Linked DNA regions of Arabidopsis thaliana. The protein of the gene in region 1 interacts with the protein of each later gene in a biochemical or structural test. Each region holds a gene or a part of one and is shown on either strand. Other genes may lie near its edges. The genes, in order: FKF1, PRR5 and CDF1.

Region 1 (5,734 bases):
TTTTCTTTTAGTATATGATCTCTTTAGTTTTTACTTTTTTGTCTTTTATGTTTTGTTTAATTAATAATCTCGAGTTTTATACTAAACTGAAAGTGCACATGAATATGATATGTATTAAGTTGGATATTGAATCCCACAAAATCAAAAGATTTGATGAACTAAAAAAGTTCACGCAGCAAATTTGTTTTTCATTTGCTGAAGTTTTTATTGACTAATTAATTAGTTAACTAAAACCTGAAAGAAAAGAAAAAACGGAGGTAATAGTTTAGGGTACTGACGTGTGAGCTTACGCAATTTTCGAATTAGGAAGTGAGCTAGATTCTAGGGCTGTGATACGTGAATGTATATACTTTCTGTTTCGTGTTCAAGTCATATTTTAGTTTTTGTTTTGGTAAAAGAAGTCATATTTTAGCTGTGAAATTACAAATATATTTTTGTGATAACATTATAAATATATATTAACATGTGGAACCCTAATTCTCATTAAACTGCTCACGTTAAAGCACATGCAGTACACCAACCATTTAAATTGTTTTGCTTAGCACGATTTTGTTTCATTCATGATTCAAAACTTCAATTTTTCTTCGTCTGTTTTTATATAAATATTCGAAACATTTATAGAATTTTTTTGTTTTTAATTTGTAATTTGGATGTGGTCAAAAATCATACTTGGATCTATATTGATGTTATACATTTCACGACTTCAAAAGAAACTATTGCTCGCTCTATTTCTGTCATTAATTAACTCATAACTTAACTTACACAAAAATTGAGATGATGACAATCATGAAACTATTTAAAAAGAAAAAGACCAGACCGGCCAATGTTAGACTAGGATTAGTGGCTATTATTCTAGTGACAGGGGTGCGATGAGTACCATTGTTTTTGAACATGTCTCTTTGTCTTCGCGATGAACCAAGCGGTCCCAAAAGTATTGGCAATAGATAGAGCCTCAATACCTTTAATTAATTATAAATTTCCCTGAATTTATATTCTCCAAAAATGAATGTTATTTTTTTCATCAATCAAAAAAAGTTGTTGGGTTTTAGTCCACCAAAAAGATGTTTGAGTTTCGATTGTTTGTGTTCAAAAAATCAAATTACATAACAAAAGCCAGAACTTTTTTTTATATCAAAAAGTAAAGAAAAAATAAGAAAAACAAAAAATCATAACTTTTTTTATTGAGGTGATAAGGAATGTAATTTATTGACGTCTTGTGAACCCGATATAAATCTAAAACTTGAAGTAGCTAATGAAACATAACAGGAAATGTTGGAGTGGTATAGAAATTACCTTTAATTTACCTTTAATTGTATAGAAATTAAAGATAAAATAAAAAGATAAATCTATGAAACAATTATTTTGTCTATATACCAAAAGGGTTAGTTTTCTTGTGTTTAGTTTTTTGGAATGGAAATATATTATTTAAATTGGAATATTTTTTTGGTTGAACACAATTGGAATATGTAAAGGTTGATTTCATGTACTTGAAAGATTATGGTCAGAAGCCTTCTCACACGGTTAAGAAAAATAAAAAAAATATGTTGTCTATTTATTTGGTTCAAATTAAGTTTTTGTGTGGGCTTTGTGGGCTAGCTATTTAGTATGGGCCTAGATCTGGACTTCTGTAAATCTTAGGACTACACTTAACTCTATTACTCTCATAGTATGCCACTATGTGGGGTCTATGGCCACTATTGCTATCAATTATTACATATTTACATTACTTACGTACATTTTCGTATTTCTAATGTAATTTTTTTGTTTAGAAACTTATATAAGTGGGAAGTTTTAGAGCTAAATCTGAATTTTCTCAACTGGGGAGAAAAACTCCCTTGTCTCATCATCCCATTCCACTCACCACGAAAACTCAATTTGTTACATTAACATTATGTGTAACCTTTTCGAGAATCGCGTTTCACAAAAATATCTATTATTTGACCAGAGTCAACGGTTACGTGAATCTGATTCCAATTGCGTTCCAACTTCCAAGTTCCAACACTTCACAAACAAAAACAAATATCTTCCCTCAAATCTCAATCTTCAAAAAAAAAACAAATATCTTTCACAAAATATGATGACGTGGAAGAAGCGAGTGGTTGAGTAGGCTAGATATTTTCTCGGAATATCCCCTGGTGACGTGTTACAATCGAACAAGAGTAGACTTACTTTTTTTAAACATACCCCTGATATATCCTTTTAATTACGAAAATTGCCACCAACTCCTGGCGCGAAGACTTCTTGCCTCGTCTTAAATATAAAGGGTATATTCGTCAATAAGTCACCAACTAAGCCAAGATATTTTAAAAGTTTAAACAGACACAAAAAGAAATAAAATATCATAAGGCTGAGAGCTTATCAGAGAAGAAGAAGATATTTCTGTAAGCGAGAAAAATGGCGAGAGAACATGCGATCGGAGAAGCCACCGGAAAACGAAAGAAACGCGGCAGAGTTGAAGAAGCAGAAGAATACTGTAACGATGGAATCGAAGAACAAGTAGAGGATGAGAAGCTTCCGTTAGAGGTTGGGATGTTCTATTACCCAATGACTCCGCCTTCGTTCATTGTTTCCGATGCTCTGGAGCCAGATTTTCCTTTGATCTATGTCAACAGAGTCTTCGAAGTCTTCACTGGCTATCGTGCCGATGAAGTTCTTGGTCGTAACTGGTATATTAATTTCTCCGATTTCCCCCTTTTTGAATTGGAGTGTGTTGTTATCAATTCTCTTGAATAATGCTGCATTTGTGGTTGAATCTGCTTGGTTTCAGTCGATTCCTACAGTACAGAGATCCTCGAGCTCAAAGGCGTCACCCATTGGTTGATCCTGTGGTTGTATCTGAGATTAGGAGATGTCTTGAAGAAGGTATTGAATTCCAAGGAGAGCTTCTTAATTTCAGAAAAGATGGTACTCCTTTGGTTAACAGACTACGGCTTGCTCCAATACGTGACGATGATGGAACCATTACACACGTAATTGGGATACAGGTCTTCTCTGAAACGACTATAGACCTTGACCGTGTCTCGTATCCTGTGTTCAAACATAAACAACAGCTTGATCAAACATCTGAGTGCTTGTTTCCAAGTGGAAGCCCGAGGTTTAAGGAGCATCATGAAGATTTCTGTGGGATATTGCAGCTATCTGATGAAGTTTTGGCTCATAACATCTTATCTCGGTTAACTCCAAGGGACGTTGCTTCAATTGGTTCTGCTTGCAGGAGGTTGAGGCAGTTGACGAAGAACGAGAGTGTGAGGAAGATGGTATGTCAGAATGCGTGGGGAAAAGAGATAACTGGAACACTGGAGATTATGACTAAGAAGCTAAGATGGGGTCGGTTAGCTAGAGAGCTCACCACTCTTGAAGCTGTGTGTTGGCGTAAATTTACTGTTGGAGGGATTGTACAACCTTCCCGCTGCAATTTCAGCGCGTGTGCTGTTGGGAACCGGCTTGTGCTATTTGGTGGGGAAGGGGTTAACATGCAGCCATTGGATGATACTTTTGTTCTCAATCTTGATGCAGAGTGTCCTGAGTGGCAGCGTGTGAGGGTGACGTCGTCGCCTCCAGGACGTTGGGGACACACACTCTCGTGTCTCAACGGGTCGTGGTTGGTAGTCTTTGGAGGGTGTGGAAGACAAGGATTGCTTAATGATGTATTTGTGCTTGATCTAGACGCTAAGCATCCCACATGGAAGGAAGTAGCAGGAGGAACTCCTCCATTGCCAAGATCTTGGCACAGCTCGTGCACCATTGAGGGCTCTAAACTGGTTGTCTCAGGTGGCTGCACAGACGCTGGAGTGCTTCTCAGCGACACCTTCTTGTTGGATCTGACAACAGATAAACCGACATGGAAAGAGATCCCGACATCATGGGCTCCTCCTTCTAGACTTGGGCATTCTTTATCGGTCTTTGGTCGGACTAAAATCCTAATGTTTGGCGGGCTTGCAAATAGTGGTCATCTAAAGCTAAGGTCAGGGGAGGCATACACTATAGACTTGGAGGATGAAGAACCAAGATGGAGAGAGCTTGAGTGTAGCGCATTCCCAGGCGTGGTTGTACCGCCTCCAAGACTAGACCATGTGGCTGTGAGCATGCCGTGTGGTAGGGTCATCATCTTTGGAGGGTCGATTGCAGGGCTTCACTCTCCTTCGCAACTGTTTCTAATAGATCCTGCAGAAGAGAAACCGTCATGGAGGATCCTGAATGTCCCCGGGAAACCGCCTAAGTTAGCTTGGGGACATAGCACATGCGTTGTTGGAGGAACTAGAGTATTGGTCCTTGGTGGTCACACTGGTGAGGAATGGATACTCAATGAATTACATGAACTCTGCTTGGCTAGCCGGCAAGACTCGGATCTGTAAAGACTCTTTCCTTCTTCATTTGGTTTGTGGTTTTGTATCTGTCACATTCCAAACTCTTACGACATGTAGAAGAGATATATCAGAAGCTAGAAGCGTGTGTACATAGTAAATTAGTGATTGTTGTACGCTTTAGATAGATATTCATGTAATGTTAATGGTTTTGCTGTATGAAGATCCTTCTATAATATACTTCTCCTTGTTACTCGACCATGCAGGATTTGATTTTTGACGTACCATCCAAAAGAGAGAAGACACTGAGTTTGGACATATATATATATATCCACAAACCCAAAAGTAGAAATAATCACACAACACCTCAAGTAAATAGAATGAAGAAACCGAAAAAGTAAAGTACACAAACTTCAATACAGAGCTAAAACCTATACAGCCAAACAAACTACTTCCATAGGACAGAAAATGTTATGCGAAAATGTCAAACATCTCTCCCTCCACCCTTTTTTCTTGTCGTCATCGCTAAGCAGTGTAAGCCGATCTAAGTCAGAAAGCATACTTATCTTTTTCATCCTTAAGTTCTATGGTAATTCAATAAATCACAGAGGATGTAAAGGAAAGCAAGAGAAATAAAAAAGAGATATAAAGGTTAAAAAGAGCTTAAAAATCACACCAGCCTATAACGGTTTTACTTGTTTAAACTGATACGACCACAAGAACTAGTCACATCTCCTCCCTCATCTCATTGTGTACTCCTTGTTAACCCACTTCGGCCAGCAGCTCTGCAGAATATCGAACACCAAGCTTAGTCTGATTGCTAAAATCGCAATTTGATCATAAAAATAGACAAAGATATTCAACATTGTTAGATACCTTGCAGCAAGAATCTGGGCGGTGTTGGATGAGGGTTTGGTGTTTGAAGACCTTTTAGCTCTATTATCCTGATCTTTATCCACACGCATTGCAGCAACCTCTTTCTCCATTGCAGCCACTTCCCTTCTCATCTTCTTTGCTTCAACTTCCATTGCCTTTGTTAAAGTTTCAACCTTTTTTGCTAACATCTACAAGAAAAATATCAAGACTTCCATTACAAACACGTCTTTTTAACAACATTTTATATGGTACATTCAGAGAGATTTTACCTCTATGGCATCATCCTTGTCTTTGAGGCTTTGATCCTTTTCATGCGAAGATTTTCTCAAGGCGACTACTTCCTTCTGTAGTAAATCATACAAAACCCCTGGGACATTGTCTTCGGTTGCTGGTGCAGGGAGTTCACTTGGTGGCTTCTCTTCTGAATCTTCTTTCCAGGTATTAGGTGACTCTGATTCTTTGGTTTCATCACAAGCCTTGTTGAACGAATAATTCCCAGGTCCTTTTAAGAGTGCTTTGCCTCTATCCAATGATCTTGTGCCTCCATCGAATGA
Region 2 (5,926 bases), on another chromosome or scaffold:
TATTTAGATACCACAGTAAAGTTGTTATCCGTAAAAATTATTTGACATTATATATCGTTATCATCATTATACAAATTTTTTTTGATAATTCAGATGATTTTAATGGTTTTTTATGTCCAAAGAGTAATCTTCAAGCCCGAAAAAACTATGTTAAAATTCGAACTTCGGTGACCAATATTACTGAAATCCAAATGACGAATAATTATTTTCTGGTTTATTATTGGACGAATGCGACTTAATTATTTTGTCTATTTTATATCATTTCTATTAGCAACATCATAATAAAATTTCTAATATATGCTGTCAATTATGTGACCAGCAACAATATAGTAAAACAATGTTAATTAAACCCATCTAACAACAATAAAAATTTGTCACTGACATAGTTTTCCTATATAGCACTTATTTTTCTTTTGTCAATAAAACACGCCGGCCTAAACCTATTTCTCAGTTTAACGCATGAAGTGCTAGTACAAGGAACTAAACCACCTGGCTTATTATTAACCATTTTCTTCATTTGTTTGATTGATCATTACACTAATTGTCCTTTTTTATTACCTAGTAGTTTACTAAGTTTGATTAAGAGAAGAAAACCATAGGGTCCAGTCAATAAAAAAGAAAGTCATAGCGTAGGACAAGACTCTTGTTACAAGAGAGCGAGTAGGAGAGATATATTACACTCGCGGGCGCGTAAAGAGACAAGGAAAAAAGAAGATATTTAGTCTCTGACAGTGACAGCTACCATTTAAAGGTGAAAGACTGTGTCAGATAATAACCATACACGTGTCATATTCCTATCCACCAAAGAACCACGAGGTTTTTAAACAAGTGTCTCTAATCTAATCCCACCCAACAACAAAATATCTAGCCGCGGAAAATTACTTTAAAATTCATCACCCTTTGTCCCTACTCTTGACTCGTGCATGTTCCATTTGATTTATTCCACCACGCAACCAAAATAGTAGCAATAGAAAAAACCAAAATGTTGATAAAAATTTGGTAAACTATGAATCTCTATGATCGATATTCATTTGTTTGATTGTTCCATTTCTTTTCTAATGCAAATCAATATTAAAGTGTTCTTATTTCGTGACTAAAATATATGGCTGGCCGAAAAAATATAAAATAATATATGACATTTGCTATTAGTTAGCACCAGTGATCATTTGGTGTAAGCAAATGTTTTTTGTGCCAAAAAATAATATTGAAATATATGTATAATTAATTCATTAACAAAAAGTTCTTATTTGTTATTTCAGAAAATAAATTATACCATGTGTCCTTGATTTTCTTATGTGAAAAAAAATTGAAATATCCTTATTGTTTTTAAAATAAACAAATTGCAAACCTATGTACCAAACAGAAAATAATACAATTGTTTTTGGATAAATTTGTATAGATACTTTTTCCCACTAGCATTAGATATTTTTTGGGTTTGGTATTATCCCAAAAGTCACGAGTGGGATTTTTATAGGTACTCAAAAGCTAAAATGTCTGAACAATAATATAAAATACATTTTAAAATAAAAGTAAAATTTAGAAGCATCAAATAAGTAATAGTTTCAATGTTTAGTGTTGATCTCTTATTAAAAGAAAAATAAACAAGAAATTCACTAAATATTTCTCCATCACAAATACATAAACATCAATTGCAATAAATATTTTGGTAAAGTATAATAAAAAATTAAATCCAACTTTAAATATGAACCACATAGAAAAACCAAAGGCTAGCCACCACACCAATTTTTTCTTAAAAGAAGGTTATTTGGCGTATTGGATCTCTTTTGTCTCGTATACAGTATTTTGCTGATGTGGCAAACGTGGCCACGTCAGCCAATTCTACTAGATATTTTTTCAAATCCAAATACTCTTTCCACAACCGTTAGATCATGGTCGGTTCGCCACCCACTTTCAATCATAACCGTTAAAACATTCGCTAGATTTTTTCTAGATATTTTCTTTTCTCCACACTATTATAGAAAGAATAAAGTTCTTTTTTTTGCTCTCTTCTCATTTATCTCTCCACTCACAAATATTTTGATTTGTTTTGTAACTGTTTCTCTTTCTCTGGAGCTTTCTTCTTCTTCTTCAATAATCGATTTAGGTTTTTCAAAGCTAAGTGTTTGTGTTGTGATAATGACTAGTAGCGAGGAAGTAGTTGAAGTGACGGTGGTTAAAGCACCTGAAGCTGGCGGAGGAAAGTTATCACGTCGGAAGATTCGGAAGAAAGACGCCGGTGTTGATGGTTTGGTGAAGTGGGAGAGATTTCTCCCGAAAATCGCGCTTAGAGTTTTGCTCGTTGAAGCTGATGATTCTACTAGACAGATTATCGCTGCTCTTCTCAGGAAATGTAGTTACAGAGGTTAGTTTCTGGTTTCAATGCTTGAGATTTAGGTTTTGTTTGTATAGAATCTGAGAATTATGAATTCGATTGAGATGCTAATGTTTTGAATCTGATTCGCGTGCGGCTAAATGTTACAATTCAAAGTCAAATTTAGAAAAGTCAACGATTTTTTTGTCGGTTTTGTGTTCATATAGAAATCTTTATCAACGCTTAGTTTCTACAACAAGCTAAAAGGATTTGTATTAATGTGGTTTGGTTTTGTGTATTGATCAGTTGCTGCAGTACCTGATGGCTTAAAAGCTTGGGAGATGCTAAAAGGAAAGCCTGAAAGTGTTGATTTGATATTAACAGAGGTTGATCTACCTTCAATATCTGGATATGCTCTGCTAACACTTATCATGGAGCATGATATTTGCAAGAACATTCCTGTTATAAGTACGTTGATATATACATCTTTTTCTTCCATCGTTTTGAAATGATTTTTTGGCTCATTATGTATTGTTTTTTTTTCCAGTGATGTCGACACAGGACTCGGTGAATACTGTGTATAAGTGTATGTTGAAAGGTGCGGCTGATTATCTTGTTAAGCCGTTGAGGAGGAATGAGCTTAGAAATCTTTGGCAGCATGTCTGGAGAAGACAAACTGTATGTTTCATATCCATCTTTTGTTTTAAGCTTTATGTGTGATGAATTATCTCTACAACTTAAACCCGTTCTTATATAAGTTCTGGGAAATTTCGTTGTCTTGAAAAGATGATTGAGTTCTCAGATTTGTTTTTGGTTTTGATTATCTTTTACAGTCACTTGCTCCTGATAGCTTTCCATGGAATGAGAGTGTTGGACAGCAGAAAGCCGAGGGTGCGTCTGCAAACAACTCGAACGGAAAGAGAGACGATCATGTTGTGAGTGGGAATGGTGGTGATGCCCAGAGCTCGTGTACAAGACCAGAGATGGAAGGTGAGAGCGCAGACGTGGAGGTTAGTGCGAGAGACGCAGTACAGATGGAGTGCGCAAAGTCTCAGTTTAATGAGACACGGCTTCTAGCAAATGAGTTGCAGAGTAAGCAAGCAGAAGCCATTGACTTCATGGGAGCATCGTTTAGAAGAACTGGACGACGTAACAGAGAAGAAAGTGTTGCTCAATACGAATCTCGGATAGAGCTTGATCTTTCTCTGAGAAGACCTAATGCTTCTGAGAACCAATCTTCTGGAGACCGGCCTTCTCTTCATCCTTCTAGTGCCTCAGCTTTCACACGGTGAGTTGTCTAATTTCTCAATTCTTCTTTCTATTAATCGTTCAATAGTTGTCGTTCTTTCTGCTGATTGTGTGTGTTATGTTCTTGTTGCAGGTACGTTCACAGGCCGTTGCAGACACAATGTTCAGCCTCCCCAGTGGTTACTGATCAAAGAAAGAATGTTGCAGCAAGTCAAGATGATAACATTGTGCTAATGAACCAATACAATACATCTGAACCGCCTCCAAATGCTCCAAGAAGAAACGACACCAGCTTTTACACTGGAGCTGACTCACCTGGTCCACCGTTTAGTAATCAGCTGAATTCTTGGCCGGGACAGAGTTCATACCCTACGCCAACCCCTATCAACAATATACAGTTCAGAGATCCCAACACAGCTTATACATCTGCAATGGCTCCTGCTTCACTCTCCCCAAGCCCTAGTTCCGTTAGCCCGCATGAGTACAGTTCCATGTTTCACCCATTCAACAGTAAACCCGAGGGGTTACAAGACCGGGATTGTTCCATGGATGTAGATGAGAGGAGATACGTCTCTTCTGCAACCGAACATAGTGCAATAGGCAATCACATTGATCAGCTTATTGAGAAGAAGAACGAAGATGGCTATTCATTATCCGTCGGGAAAATTCAGCAATCTCTTCAACGAGAAGCCGCTTTAACCAAATTCCGAATGAAGCGAAAGGACAGATGTTATGAGAAAAAGGTAAAAACTTAACTTCGATGGTTCCATCACATAGATGAACTCATAACGTAATGATACTAAAGGAACCTTTGAATGACTTAACAGGTTCGTTACGAGAGCCGGAAGAAATTAGCAGAGCAACGACCACGAATCAAAGGCCAATTCGTTCGTCAAGTCCAATCCACACAAGCTCCATAGTGATCCAACAAATTGATATATTATATACAGTTCAATTTTGTATCATCAACTAGAGGAATTTTGTTTTCTCCGATGCAGGAGCTGTTCTTTGTACAACTAATTCCACATACGTTAGATTTGGTGACACATTTGTGTGTACATACACATCTTTCGAGCTTGTTGTTGAGTTTTAGTTAGAATCTACGTTAGATCTGTAACTACATACATTTGGATTACGTTTCTGTAACTTGCAAGACGAATTAGAAAGATTGACAAAATCTCAGCTAAACAAATTTCAGCACAAAACAATGAACTCGAAGAAGATAAGCTATAGTGAGATCAAAACTTCTGGAGAATAGTATCCACTAACACAAAAATAGCCAAACGAAGAAGATGATTATGAACATATATAAATGTGTATATGTATCTCTACATGGCTCTCTGATTATTCATGTATCAAAAGCAAGATTGATAAAATTTGTGAAAAGCTTTGTTTTGAGATTTTTTTTAAGATCGAATCGAATCAGGACTAACCCATTTCCAGTAATGTCGTTTCACAGTTACAGCATTCCCAGCGGCGAGTGTTTCAACCGAATCTTTCGTCGAGTCTCCTCCCTCGTACTCTTTTTCCTCCGTACAGAAATCTTGCTCCGGTAATCCCTCCACCGTTGCATTCACAGAGTGAAGAGCGTAACGCGCCGGTAATCCTGGATACGATAGCGAGTTCCTTTCTTCAACTCTTCTGTTATAAGTTCCGGGAAGAATCTTAATTCTCTGTCCAATGTTATCACCATCGCCATTGAAGATAGATCCGAGCTCTTCTTTTATGGCGCGAAAAACTGCTTCGTCGGGAGATTCTTCAGGCTTCATTTTCTCTGATAAAGGACGAAATCTTTCACGAATACTCCCATCGGATAATTCCTGATGAGCTTCCACTAGGATTCGTCCGTTTTTTCCGATTACTCGAACGGTGACGACGTTGACGGTGCGTACTGGAGGAGTTGAATCGGCGAGAGAAGTTTCGCCGTCGGAGAGTTCTAGCCAGAGGTTATGAACGTTTTTGGTTCCCGGTTTGACTCCCCAAGCGGCGAATGAATCGGAAGGTAATCGCGATTCGAGCCAATCGGAGAGAGATTGAGGATTAGCGAAGCGTTGAGTAGGAGGAGGAGGAGGAGGAGATCGGCGAGACATGGCGGTGATGGATCGACGGCGAGGATTTAGAGGGAAAGAGAATCTGTTCGGAGGAAGAGAGACTAGAGGTTTAGGAGATGACCAGAGGAAAAGGAGAGAGACCGCCGCGAGGAAAATATCAGGTAAAGCGGAGGTGACGGTTGCGTTACGAGGCCGGTGGTTGTTGATGTTACGGCGGTTAACGAGTGGTGTGTGCGGCGGAGATGGGCCAACGAACATGTCAATTGACCAAAATACCCCTAACGATCGAAACCAACTCTCTATCGTGGCTCATACT
Region 3 (5,609 bases), on another chromosome or scaffold:
TACTCGTGGAGGATGCCATTCGTGTGGAAGTCTACTCACCCAAAGTTTTCCTTTTAATTAACTTTCTGATCAAAAAATAAAAAGTGGACTTGAACCTTTTTCAGCTTATTTGTCTACTTTTCTTCCATTTTCATGTCACTTTTTTCTAATGTGTGATCGAAAGTCTCTTTTTTTTTACTAAATCAAAACCTTCTTTAATATTTATTATGTGCTTTGTGTTGAACCTTTTTTTTGCAATAATACATGAGATAATAAAATTTACAGAAATTGTTTGAAGACACAAATTCAATAACATTCAATGACATCAAGACACAAATTCAATGACATAAAAAAAAAAAAGATATCTGAATAACCAAGAAAAATGGTTGAACGTGGTTACAAAGCTGTTTGATTCAAATCGACTCTAGTGATCGACGTTAAATACTGTTTCATATATGCATTCTTATTTTGTTCCATATGTGGAGGAAAGAAAATAATAATAATGTATGAACAATTAGAGAATTTATGATATTGAATATTTTTGGGTCGCAGAGATAATACTGTCTATATTCAAAAGAATGAAAAAGCAACGTGTCCTGCTCTTTACTTTCAGCCAAAAAAAATACTCTGTCCCACGTTATTAACAATTTCAAAGGAAATAATAAAAAATGGTTTAGGATAATCACATTTGTGGCTAATATTAGTTGAGCTGTCCAAAATATCTAAGTTGCTATCAGACACACAGACCAAAGTTCATAAAAATAAATGAATTTGGGAGCACAATGATCCATCTTTTTCAGCATAATTAGTTAAAAGGAAGTAAAAATAAGCAAACAAATGATTATATACAGACTGTCTCGACGTCTATTTCTGATTTTTTTCCATATATTCCTCGTTTTAATCTAAAAAAACCTTTATACCAGGTTTTGATTAGAGAAGTATTCGTTAAAGTACATTCGTTTGATACGGTTGGTCAACAAATTATCCAAGAACTAAATTTTTTAATCAATCTAGGATATTTATTATCCAAAAATACTATGTACTTTACCAAAAAAACATTACACGAAAATGATCTAAAATACAACACTCCATTAAAAGGGGCTAAGTTGCAAAGAAAGTCAAAATAAAAGTAAATAGATTAACTAACGATAATTTAAAAACTCTGCAAAACTTGATTAAATCTAATTTCATTATAGTTTATTTTATTTGTTGCTGTTTGCTTTGTTTTCCATATTCAACATTATTATGTTTTGTGCTGTTTTATCGTGCCCACCCGCACCAGCACACATGACACAACTGTTAGTTATCGCACAAAAGAGGTCAAATTCAAGAAATCTTTTTACATTATCTTATCTTACTTTACTTATCCACTCGTGTTTAAAGTAAATCAGATGTCTATCTCAAATCTCACAACAGTTTTTTTATATTTTTACTGTTAGCTTTTAACAGCGTATTTAATTTGAATGCAAGATAACGGTCAAAAAGAACTTTTATTTCATCGTATTTAATCTTACAACAAAAATCAAACTTAAAAGACTAAAAAGTATATGGTACAAAAGCTATTATAAAGCTTCATGTAAGCCACAACGAAAGAACAAAAAAGTCAGATTTTGATGGATCTAACTTAATCTTCCACCACATCTATACATACATACACGTATATATCATATGTATACAATCACATCTGCTCATGGAAATTGATTGATCTTGATAACGCAGCAGGGTTTGCACAAAGAACAAGTGAGGTCTCTGTTTCTTCTTTGTTACTGAGCTTAACCTCTTTCTTCGAACCAAACCCATTGAACATAACTTCGTTCTTGATCCCAAGTGTTGTCCATATCGAACTCTTTGCAGCTTCATTAGGATCATCAATTCTCAAAGTCTTTGGAACCAATACAGATCCATTCCTCTGTTTTTGCTTCACCGTCTCGTCTTCGTCTCTCGAATGCTTACCAAGAGTAGAAGTAGGACTTGAACTTACCGGAGAAGACAACACTGGCATGCTCCAATAAGGGTAAACCGGGTAAAACGCAGGATTCCACGTGTACGGCCACGAAACTCCCGGAAAACAATTCAAACCGTTCGAAGTGTTGTTATTAGAGCGCTCGTCATTGTTCTCTATCCTAGCAACTAGCTTTTGATTACCAAACCTATTACTCGAGACCTTTTGATCATCTCCGAGGCTGAAACTAAGGACCGGACCATTTGTTTCGGAGATAGTCACATGGTGGTAATGTGAAGTTGGTGAGTTGTTCTTGTTCTTGCGCCGTCCTGCTCCGATTGGAACACTTCTCATGGTCCCACCTGAGGTCCAATATCTCTGACAAGCTTTACAAAAATGGCGAGGTTGGTTTACGTTGTAGTTGTTGTAGTAACAGAACTTAGTCTCCATGCTGTTGCATCTTGGACATGGAAGAATCTTGGTTGGTTTCTTTAGGGTTTTGTCTTTCTCCGATTGATCAGTTAATGTCTTGTTTTGGTTCTGATGCAAGACAATGAAATCGGATTATTAGGGACGGATGATGAATAAAGAAAGAATAACATTTTTGAAGCATGTTAAACAGAAATGAATTTAAAACTTTGTATTATAATGAGTATGATTCTCAAGAAGAAGGTTCTAGATGAAATTTTGGTGGAGGAAAAAGTCTTTTAAAGAACACGCTTTAGTTAGAAGTCTAAATTCGCTCACCTTTATTGGTTTCAGTGTGTATACTATAAAGCAACCTTTTTCACTAAAAAATATGATTACTTTATGGAGAAACGAATATGCTTTTTCGTTTCATGAAAAGTCATCAAACCAAATTGCAACCTCTGGTTCACCAACAGAGAACTAGAGTTTTAATTAAACAGATGGTTTAAGTGTATTTTCTTAGGAATTCTCCAAAAAGTTTACCAATTCATCAACTATGAATATAAAACGATACCAAAAAAAGAAAACAGTTGCCTTTGATGGGAAAATGAACAAAAACTCAAATACCCTTTTCAAAACACCAAAACTCATTTTCTCTATACTTGTATATAACAAAACATACTCAGCCCTTTCAGAAACAAAAAAGTAGACATAATAATGAGTACCTTTTCTTCTTCTTCATCAGCAACCTCTAAAACCGTCGGGAAAGGAATTTTCATACCAAAGAGCTTTATCGCAGGATCTTTAGTTTCCAGCATTATTATCGTTTTCCTAAGATGTGCTCTTTTTTACTCGTAAGTTTCTGACTCTCTGTGTCTCTTTTCCTTTCTTTTCAGGGTGTTTTTTTTTGTTTCTCTTCGAAGATGTTTTGTGGGGGGTTTGGGTAGTTTGGAAATTTTTGGTTTGGAAATCGTGAGATTTGGGATTTTGATACGTTTTAAAAAGTGAAGTGGATGCCAGGTCAGCATTTTGGTTTGATTCTAGACCACAAGTTTATGTGGCCTCTGATATTTTACTTTTCTCCCAAACCCCATTAAAACCCATAGCATATAATCTTTTGTTATTTTCTTTAAACTTTGTCAAAACTATTCGAAGAATCGATTTTTTTATATGTTTTAGATTTTCACTAAACTTTCCGTTAACCAAACAGATCAAAAAGGTCTTATGTAGTTATATACATGGAACAAATGCATAACAAGTTTGAACGATAAAAAACGAAGTGCTCCTACGAGGATGCAATAAAGTTTTCAGAAAAAGTGTTTTTATAAACACGCTTCGTTATATATAATACTGATATAAGATTTCTAACATATCTTAACAATTATCTATCTATTGTTGAATTGAAGAAAAAAAAACAATTATGTAAACTGTTTAGAAACTTTTGGGTAGGTAAATGTCAGCATCGCGGGGATGGCTTTGGTGCAGCTCACACGAGAGCTGTCTTGTTACGTGCAATTTCTTAATTGGTTGGTAGAAGGATAAAAATCCTTCATTTGAAAACGATCTACACTTTTTGGTTTGGAGAAACATATACCCTTCTTTTATACACAAAGATTAATCACAACCATTAATAGAAAATCAATTATAAAAAAAAAAACAAAAAAAAAACTTCACAACCATATAACATCCATTGACGAATTTCATTAAGTGAACGGTTGTACGTTAAGATAAGAAGACTGCAGAAGAAGGTAATAGATATGAGGTGCTCTCTCATTGGCTATTACCAAAAAGGTCTCTGCCACATTTTATGATTTACCAAACTCTGCCTTTTTTCCATGTCAACTTCTACTGTAGGTCCCTTACTCACCTGCATCTTGGTCAGATCATAGATTTCACAAACTGATTGTGTTGCAGTAAGATCGTAGTTAAGAAGCTTCCTAAATCTAAGAAGGCTTAACAAAACAAAATTTGTTGCATCTTCAAAAGACAATTTGTGTATGTGTCTATTTGTATATTGTGTAAGAAGACAATTTGGAATATTAATCCGAATACCGAATATCGGATAATGTTTCTTTATAATTCATAATGTGTTTCAAAATAATCCATTATTCCAAGACGTGTGCCAACCAGTGTTATCACTTCATGTAATCATTTTTTAGCAGGGTTAAGATTTAAGACAGCTTTAGTTTGAGGGCATTGTCTTTCTCTTAGAAGGGTCGTAAACGGTGAACATGTCACACACAGTAAGTTACCAAAGTCAAAATGTCGGTTTTTCATAACTTCCCCAATTCTTTTTATTTAACATTATCATTTAGCAACCAGATCAACACTACACTATCAATGGAAAGTGTTTTTTTTTCATCTAGATTTTGATTTGAGTTTTTCGTTTTTGAATTATTGGTTTTTAAAAACTAGATCAACCAGATTTTTAGTTCTATTGACGCGTCTGTGTTTTTTTCTGATGTTGTCAAGATAGTAGGGACAATATTCTTCTTCTTCAGCAATAATGGGTTATATAAACTGACAATTTTTCTCCAACAAAAAGCAGTTGCATTAGACAAGATCATAACTTTTAAAGTTTTTGGCAAAAGAACTAAATCTGAAATTTTCAAAATTTTCTTTTGAAATAAGGCATCAAGTGTCAGCATATTCATCTTCTGAATCTCCCTCCTCTACCACCACCACGACCGCCTCTTCTTCCACCACCGCCACCGCGACCTCCACCATGTCCATTGCCGTTAGCTCCAGGAGTCTTCATGTTTTCAGGCAATGGGAGGATTTGATCAACACACTTCCTGAAGCTGAAATCGTCTGCAGTATCGTCTTCCCTAACCAGAAAGAAGCATCTGCTTTTCCACATTGGGTGGGTTCTTACTTGGAAGGTTTTGATTCCTCCTCCAATCTTCTTTTCAGGCTCAGAATGGCCCTTCTTAATCAGATCTAGCAGCACCATGTGCTCATACTGAAATGTACAATCCAGAACAAAGTTCAGTACAACGAGTTAGTTAGTTGGAAGCTCAAAAGAAACTGCAACAACTGTAATATATTACATGACTATGCAATGTTTTATCTTTTATTTGTGCCCTCAAAATTTGACATTAACTTCATTCTTCTAACCATTATATGACATCAAGACCCAAAAAAACTTTCTAATTCACACACAATCCACAATCATATAATCAGTAAGAACACGATACATTTGAACTTTTCAACTAGTAAAAAAGCTGCAAAGGAGTCCAATTTACAAGCTATCTCCACTTCACTAATCCTCTCCCTAAAC

What was found.
Region 2: the proteins of FKF1 (region 1) and PRR5 form a complex in vitro, tested with the Arabidopsis thaliana proteins (one study listed by BioGRID).
Region 3: the proteins of FKF1 (region 1) and CDF1 form a complex in vitro, tested with the Arabidopsis thaliana proteins (one study listed by BioGRID).

The regions. Positions count from the first base shown.
Region 1 is NC_003070.9:25,506,343-25,512,076, forward strand, and holds FKF1 (flavin-binding, kelch repeat, f box 1), read left to right. Parts: upstream 1-2,296; 5' UTR 2,297-2,394; coding exon 2,395-2,666; intron 2,667-2,767; coding exon 2,768-4,355; 3' UTR 4,356-4,565; downstream 4,566-5,734. Other genes in the region: MAP70-1 (microtubule-associated proteins 70-1), read right to left, coding at 5,050-5,089, 5,181-5,368, 5,450-5,734. UniProt on the Arabidopsis thaliana protein: Component of an E3 ubiquitin ligase complex that plays a central role in blue light-dependent circadian cycles.
Region 2 is NC_003076.8:8,354,757-8,360,682, reverse strand, and holds PRR5 (two-component response regulator-like protein), read left to right. Parts: upstream 1-2,136; coding exon 2,137-2,362; intron 2,363-2,617; coding exon 2,618-2,779; intron 2,780-2,858; coding exon 2,859-2,989; intron 2,990-3,144; coding exon 3,145-3,599; intron 3,600-3,692; coding exon 3,693-4,302; intron 4,303-4,386; coding exon 4,387-4,479; downstream 4,480-5,926. Other genes in the region: AT5G24460 (RING-H2 zinc finger protein), read right to left, coding at 4,966-5,868. UniProt on the Arabidopsis thaliana protein: Transcriptional repressor of CCA1 and LHY, thereby controlling photoperiodic flowering response. Involved in the positive and negative feedback loops of the circadian clock. With RVE8, forms a negative feedback loop of the circadian clock.
Region 3 is NC_003076.8:25,067,641-25,073,249, forward strand, and holds CDF1 (cycling DOF factor 1), read right to left. Parts: upstream 3,472-5,609; 5' UTR 3,148-3,471; coding exon 3,055-3,147; intron 2,462-3,054; coding exon 1,658-2,461; 3' UTR 1,453-1,657; downstream 1-1,452. Other genes in the region: AT5G62440 (EMB514 (DUF3223)), read right to left, coding at 4,980-5,291. UniProt on the Arabidopsis thaliana protein: Transcription factor that binds specifically to a 5'-AA[AG]G-3' consensus core sequence. A flanking TGT sequence contributes to the specificity of binding. Regulates a photoperiodic flowering response. Transcriptional repressor of 'CONSTANS' expression.